Nothobranchius furzeri: one gene and its partner. The protein of the gene in region 1 interacts with the protein of each later gene in a biochemical or structural test. Links are inferred from orthologs where the notes say so. Each region holds a gene or a part of one and is shown on either strand. Other genes may lie near its edges.

Evidence for each region.
Region 2: the proteins of glrx5 (region 1) and bola3 form a complex in vitro, tested with the Homo sapiens proteins (4 studies listed by BioGRID and IntAct, with this or other methods). The link is inferred for Nothobranchius furzeri from reciprocal best matches to the Homo sapiens genes GLRX5 and BOLA3.

What each region holds. Positions count from the first base shown.
Region 1 is NC_091742.1:17,910,904-17,914,528, forward strand, and holds glrx5 (glutaredoxin-related protein 5, mitochondrial), read right to left. Parts: upstream 2,266-3,625; 5' UTR 2,138-2,265; coding exon 1,840-2,137; intron 997-1,839; coding exon 824-996; 3' UTR 519-823; downstream 1-518. Other genes in the region: prkrip1 (PRKR-interacting protein 1 homolog), read left to right, coding at 2,528-3,109.
Region 2 is NC_091749.1:58,110,946-58,115,108, forward strand, and holds bola3 (bolA-like protein 3), read right to left. Parts: upstream 2,664-4,163; 5' UTR 2,593-2,663; coding exon 2,482-2,592; intron 2,388-2,481; coding exon 2,282-2,387; intron 1,965-2,281; coding exon 1,876-1,964; intron 1,045-1,875; coding exon 979-1,044; 3' UTR 541-978; downstream 1-540. UniProt on the Homo sapiens protein: Acts as a mitochondrial iron-sulfur (Fe-S) cluster assembly factor that facilitates (Fe-S) cluster insertion into a subset of mitochondrial proteins. Probably acts together with NFU1.

The sequences.
Region 1 (3,625 bases):
GTACAATATCTTACAGTGTTCTACATGTTTAATAAACTCAGCAGTAGGTGGAACATCTTTAAGAACACTCAAAAGTAAAATATAACACCACTTTTCCTTTAGGGAGAAGAACAAAGTTTGGACTTGGATCGAACTAGCTAACTGCCTCTGGGCAGAAAGTGAGTCAGGAGGAAGGAATCCGTGTTGGTCTGGCACGTCTCCTCGGTCGGTGACGGCAAACATAAAACCTAACATTCTGGATGTTAACCTTTAGCAAAAAGAGCAAGTAGTTCAGTTAGAAACTGTGTGATTAGACCTTTCCTAGGCCCGTTTGCTCTGTGTGCTAACGGGCTACAGGCAGTGCATCTGGAAGGTTTCAAGTGAGCTGACATCAGTCGTGCGGTCCAGGCAGCTTTAGGTGACCCAGTCAGTCAGAGGCTCATTTCTTTTCTTTCTTAACTGATTCATGAAAATGTCTAACAGCAGAGATTTCAGAGGACAACGTGAGGGCTGATGAGCTGTCTTTAAACTATTACAAATAAAAACCATGATTTATTTAAACACAGATTCATGTACGGGATGGGATTATTGCGTTTAGGGGTTCTGTGTATCCCAAACTAGCAGCACAAATGTGTTAGGAATTCTGAAATTCCTGGGAAGTCTGTTCCCAGACCTTGGATTAAAGCCCTCAGCTGTCGGATCTTGTGAAACAGCATTCTTGCGTTGTCTCGTTGACTGACCAGCTGAGTTGCAGGTCATTAATCTTCAGAGCCAGTTTATTTGTAATGATCAGTTTAGCTGGCAGTGATGACTGTGTCCTCTGTCCTCTCAGCCGTTTGGAGTTTTACTTGGATTCCTTCTCCGCGTCCAGCAGCGCCGAGCGGATGCCGAGCTTCTTCAGCTCATCCACCAGGTCTCCGTTCTGGTGCATCTGCAGCAGGATGTCACAGCCTCCCACAAACTCACCGTTGAAGTAAACCTGGGGGATAGTGGGCCAGTTGGAGAAGACTTTGACCCCTAGTGTTAGAGAAGAGAGATCATTGGTTTGCTCCTATGCTGTAAAGGTGGACATCTGGTAGATTTCTGTACTCACAAGTGAAGGGAGATGTACTAGTTACTAACAAAACTGGAGGTTATGTTCTCTGAGGTTATTAGAGCCCATTTTGGAATATTTAAAAATATGAATATTATATATTCCCCTCTGAGAGCCTGCTTATATTTTGTCTTCCGCATAACAAACCTTTATTTACCCTCTGAAGCCTAACAGTTGCCTTGCGTTAGAAAAAGTCATTGCATGTAAAGTTGGCAGAACAAGGGCAAAACACACCGACGATGCACATTAAAACTTTAAAGAAGTACCCAGAAAAAAAAAATCTGAATTCAGTTCACAACCGGACAATATAGAGCATGTTCTGTTAGAGTTGTTCAGTTTGTACATTTAGAAGTGCTTACTCGTCGCAAACAGTCCATATCAAAGTTTGTACTTGGGCCAGAGATGAACAGCAAGACATCAGTATTAGCCCTAAAAACCAGAATTGGTGTATATCTGGACATATCTACTCAGTTATGATGCTGAGCAAAAACGCTCCTGAAAAAGTAGAATCATTCATTAATCGCAAATATGAGATTTAAAGCACAATAAATGAGCTGGTTAGAGCCTAGAGTCTGAGATGTGAGTGGTGGTTCACCACACCCCGTGTGTCCTGCTGCATGCCTCTGATAAAAGGATAAACATCTCAGAGGTGTGGTTAGTTTGAATAAGACAGCAACTGACCTGGTAAATGAAAGGCTAAAGCTAACGAGGACACTGATTAAATCGTTAAAGAGGGTATCAGGAGAACCTGTTGCCCCTGTACCGACCTTCTCGTAGGTCCTGGTCCTCCAGAACGTTGTAAGCAGCATAGTTGTCCACTCCGTGCATCCGGAGGATCTGAACCACCGCGTTGCTGAAGCCACACATGGGCTGGGCTGGCGTCCCTTTGATAAACACCACCACTTTGTCCTTCTTCACCATTTCACCAAGGTCCTTCTGGAGGTCCGCCGCCGCGCACAGAAACCTGACCGAGGCCGACCACACGCGTCCATCCGCTTGCCTAGGCACACAGACCGCCGCGCCCGAGCGGAGACACCTGGCAGTAGATCTAATTAAACTGTTCATCTTTTATGAGTTTTGTCGTTCGTCGAGCAAAACTAAAGGCGAGTAAACGGACAAGTTCAGCTCAGAGGCAATAGAGAAAGTCGTCCGTCAACACATACGCTTAGGAGGCGGGATCTGGATGCTGATTGGACAACTGAGCTTGGCTGAAATCGAATATGCTTTACTATTGGTTTATTCAAATGTCAATCAAAAAAACTCAACGTCAGTTGCGCAAATTACTTTCTAAATATTGATTAATGTTTTCATTACAGCCTTACTACGACCTAAATAACTAGTAATTGTTATACTTGTCATACTTTTTTATTTTTTCAAAAATTCCTTTCGAAGTCGTGAAGTACTTCCGGGGTGAGTTGTACGAAACGGAAGCAGCCGAAGAAGAAATTTTCAAAGATGGCGGCCTACACGCAGAAAAATAACAAGCCAGGGAAGCCCGGAGGAAAACCTGGAGGAAAAGAGGCGCAGCCTCTAATAATAGCTAAAACTCCGGCAGATGAACAGCGTTTAAAGTTGGAGCGGTTGATGCGAAACCCCGACAAGCCTGCTCCCATCCCGGACCGAGCCAAGGAGTGGAACCCGCGGGCTCCGCCGGAGTTCGTCCGGGATGTCATGGGCTCCAGCGCCGGCGCAGGCAGCGGGGAGTTCCATGTCTATCGGCACCTCCGCCGCAGAGAGTACCAGAGGCAGGACTTCCTGGATAAAGTTGCCGCGAAGCAAGACAAGGACAAGGAGTACCTCCAAAAAGTGGAGCTAAACAAGAAGGCGGCAGAGGAGCGGACGGCGAAGCGGAGGAACAAGCGGGAAAAGCTGAAGCAGAAGAAACTGTTGGCGAAGAAGGCTAAACAGGAGGAGAAAAACCAGCAGGAGGCAGAGGAGAACTCCGAGAGCAGCGAGGAGGACAAGAAGGAGGAGAAAGAAGAGGAAGAGGGAGATGATGATGCCGAGGTTCCCAGCTTCATCATGGGGAGGAAATGAATCCATCAGCCATGTTTTGTGTGTGAAGCCTCAGAGAAGCAACATCATATATGTCATGTAAAAGGGAAGGGGATGGAGATCTCAGGCATGTTTGGACTCTGACGTTTCTACACAGATCATTAAATCTGTTTGGATTCACTTTGTACAAAGACTTGATGTTTGCATCTAAACTAAACATGTGCTCAGCTTTTCTTTATTTTAAATCCGATTACCATATTTTTAATAAAATAAGAAAAAAAGTTTTGTGCAGAGTTCCATTTTTATTGGGTTTAAAACATTTACTTTGCATGTCTGAGCAGTAAATAAGTGTCTATATTTGGGGGTTTTGCAGCCTTGTCTCTGCTCCTGGTGAAACTCGTCACCTGTGGGCTCCAAAAGGCTGCAGAAAGCAACTCCAGGGATTAAAAGGCATGGCTTCTGGAGGATCTGGAGCTTCATGTGCGATGTTCCTTGGACAGTCTCCTGCTTTCCACGGTGGTGATGACCCTGATCAGTGGCTCTCATCTTTCTTGAGGC
Region 2 (4,163 bases), on another chromosome or scaffold:
CATTATCAACAGAATCTGTGACAAACGGAAGCTATGTCCAACTCTCACCGACTGAGCCCGACTTACAATGCAGACCAAGCTCTGACACCGGTCATACAGGGACCTAACAACTCGTATCAGAGTACCTGGTAACCCATACTAATGGAGTACCCCCCCACAGGGCCCCCTGACGGACGCGGTCAAACGCCTTCTCCAAATCCACAAAACACATGTTGATTGGTTGGGCGAACTCCCATGCACGCACCCTCCAAGACCCCCAAGGGTATAGAGCTGGTCCAGTGCTCCACGGTCAGGATGAAAACCACCTTGTTCCTCCTGAATCCGAGGTTCGACAATCCAATGAACCCTCCACTCCAGAACCCTGAATAGACCTTACCAGGGAGGCTCAGGAGTGTGATCCCCCTGTAGTTGGAACACATCCAGCAGTCCTCCTTTTTAAATAGAGGGACCACCACCCCGGTCTGCCAATCCAGTGGAACTGCCCCCGATGTCTATGCAATATTGCAGTCAACCTTCAACACTTAAATGACAAACACATAGTTTGTGCACACATGTTGGTATATTTTATAATAAAACAAACTGTGGTCACATTCTCAGGATGATAGCTTAAAGAATATGTCTGTAGCTGCTCATGATGATGGTGTCTTTTGCTGCTTTGACTGCTAGTTTAACACCAGCATCATTTCAATTAAACATAGGATTCCCAATGGGAACAAATCCTTCAAGCCTTAATATTGACCTTTGGACAAGTCACTTTTGTGCGTATATCAGCCTTGATCCAATAAAATTATCTCAGAATAGAAGATGTCTTATTATAACTATGTTGTTTAAAAAAGATAACTATACATGTATTTTACATTTTTAACTATCAATATGTTGTAACTGCAGGGAAACGGCATTCTGCCCGTCTAAGGCTTTACAATCTCATCAGATAAACATCAAAGAAAACGGTGCAGATAAATAGAGGAGGCAGTTTTTCTACTGTTTTGGGATGTCAGTGAATATTCGCAGGCCATGCATGCCTTGAATTTCATCCTTGAGTGCCTGTGAAGAACATAAGACAACAGTCAATTAAATCAAGAAGCAAATTATAATTCACCAACAGATGTGAAAATAATCTTAAAAATCTCACAAACTTTGATGGTAAAATACAAACAATTTGCAGCATGAGTGCATGTTTCATTATAAATTACTTTATGACAGCTTATAATATTGTAATAAATGAAAATATAGGCTTGTTTGTTTTGACCCAACAAGCATAACTGTTGCTAATAGAGACATCACCAAAAACTGGGGAGTCTGATTAACTTTAAAATTTTTATTTTTTTCCCCGTGTCCTGTCTGGCTGTGAAGCAAACAGAATTAATGTCTGAATGCTGGTGACAAGCCTTACAGATTTATAGGCTCGACACACGGGAGGCGACATCGCCTCTACTCCATTCATTTTCAATGAGACATGCGCGACAAAGCGATAATCACGGGTCTCCCTCGACATACATGTCAGGACCTGACCCCCAAGGCCCCGCCCAGATCCCCACATGAGGCCGGCCAGCTTTAAAAATGTTCATTTAAACTTTTATAATTTTGCTAGAAGTTCATTTGAAAAGAAAAGCCAATTATGCAATGTTATGTTTGCACAAAAAAAGGAAAAGCAATCACGTTAGGCTAGTAATAGTAATAATAATAATAATAATAATAATAATAATTCATAACTTTACATTTAAATAAATACAACGTTTTCTAGTATTGGCAAATTGTGTGGAGACACACACATCAGCTTTTTGGTGACTGGGTTGTGTAAGAAGAATACCCTGTGACTCATTGATTTTTACTTGCCATTATCTTGATGCTGTAACAGCAAGCCTGAATAGTTACCTGATTGACTAGCTGGTGCTGCTGCACTGTTCTTTTCCCTTTGAACTCACTGGATTCTACATGGATCTCATACATGGCCCCGCAGCCACCTAACACAAAATGATAGTCAGTTACTAAGAGTATGTAACCGCGTTATTGTACAAAAACTGGTAGGTTTTTTAATTACAATGAAATTTTTATGTATCTATCCATGCATCTATAGCAGTAATAAGCCAGCAACTGTGTTTAGTTCCTGAAATACACACGAAAACAAGAAAGGTTAGTAATTTATTCCGCTTCAACGCTTGAATAAGTATCTGTCATGTATAAATCTATGCTAAGTTTTATGTGTAACTGGTGTCAAATATAACTAATGTCATTCAGAACAACATATGACGATGCTAAACGTTTTAGCACAATGGATTACCTGATATATCCACAACTTTGAGCTTTGATGCTAAAGGAAACTTCTCCTTCAAGACTTCTGCGATGCGAACCTCTCCGTCTGTCTGAGTGGACAGACATCTCTGCATCTGAGCGGAAACCAGACATGAGAAAACAAATGAGATACACGAAGCTTCATGAACTCACCAAACTACAAAGTAGAACCAATTTAAAAATATGTACTCGGTTGTAGCGAAGAGCGGAGATTATTGTGCTGCTAGAGATGCGTTTAAAAGCCAACATTATGGAAATGGGGCGATAATTCGTGTTATTTACAAAGCCAACAGCAGTCATTCAAAAAGTCATGTCCTCAGACAACTTTTGTCTCTTAAAAATGACGTTTTCATTCTTCTTCTGAAAGATTAAGCTGCAGCTCTCTCCTTATAAACTGTATTGCTGCCATCTAGCGGCGTAAAAGGAAATATCAGATTGAAAAAGGAATAAACAGGCCAGCATAACATAATCAAATGGATAAAAGATAGCAAAAACTCTATCAAAACGTTAACTTTTTAAATTCTACACAAATAAGTGTTTTTTTCTCGGTAAAGACAAGCAAATAAAATCTGCAAAAAATGTGATGTTCACCTCTAATAATGCAAATAAAATAAAATAAAATAAACGTAGTTCATTTTATTTATACTGGACCAATTCACAACACTATACATTAAGCAATACATCCAGTTCATAATCATATTAGATTATACATGCTACATGTGGCTCAGTTAACTTCTTGAGTCCTGACCGTTTGTTTAGGGTGCATTTTTAATTTCCCCTTACTATGTGGGATCAGCAATTTCATAAACTTGAACCAAACATAACAAACACACAAAACAGGAAGCAAACCGGTAAATAAAATTTTAAAAAGGAAAATGTATTTATATACTACTCGTCGTCATCGTCGTCTTCCTCCGCTTAACCGGTCCGGGTCGCGGGGGCAGCATCCCAACTAGGGAACTCCAGACCTTCCTGTCTCCAGCCACCTCCACCAGTTCCTCCGGCAGGACCCCAAGGCGTTCCCGGACCAGATTGGAGATGTAACGTCTCCAACGTGTCCTGGGTCGACCCGGGGGCCTCCTGCCGGCAGGACATGCCCGAAACATCTCCCCTGACCAGATGCCCAAACCACCTCAACTGACTCCTTTCGATCCGGAGGAGCAGCGGTTCTACTCCAAGTCCCTCCCAAATGTCCGAGCTCCTCACCCTATCTCTAAGGCTGAGCCCGGCCACCCTACGGAGGAAACTCATTATGGCTGCTTTAATTCACAATCTCGTTCTTTCGGTCATTACCCAAAGCTCATTACCATAGGTGAGGATTGGGACGTAGATCGACCGGTAAATCGAGAGCCTGGCTTTCTGGCTCAGCTCCCTCTTCACCATGACAGATCGGCTCAGCGTCCGCATCACTGCAGATGCTGAACCAATCCGCCTGTCGATCTCCCGATCCCTCCTACCCTCACTCGTGAACAAGACCCCGAGATACTTAAACTCCTCCACTTGAGGTAGGACATCTCTCCCGATCCGGAGTTGGCAAGCCACCCTTTCCCGGTCGGGAACCATGGTCTCAGATTTGGAGGTGCTGATCCTCATTCCAGCCGCTTCACACTCGGCCGCGAACCTACCCAGCAAGAGCTGAAGGTCAGAGCTGGATGAAGATAGGAGGACCACATAATCTGCAAAAAGCAGAGACGAGATTCTCCTGCCACCAAACTCGACACACTCCACACCACGGTTGCGCCTAGAAATTCTGTCCAGAAAGGTAATGAACAGAACCGGTGACAAAGGGCAGCCCTGGCGGAGTCCAACCCTCACCGGGAACAGGTCCAACTTACTACCGGCTATGCGGACCAAACTCACGCTCCTCTGGT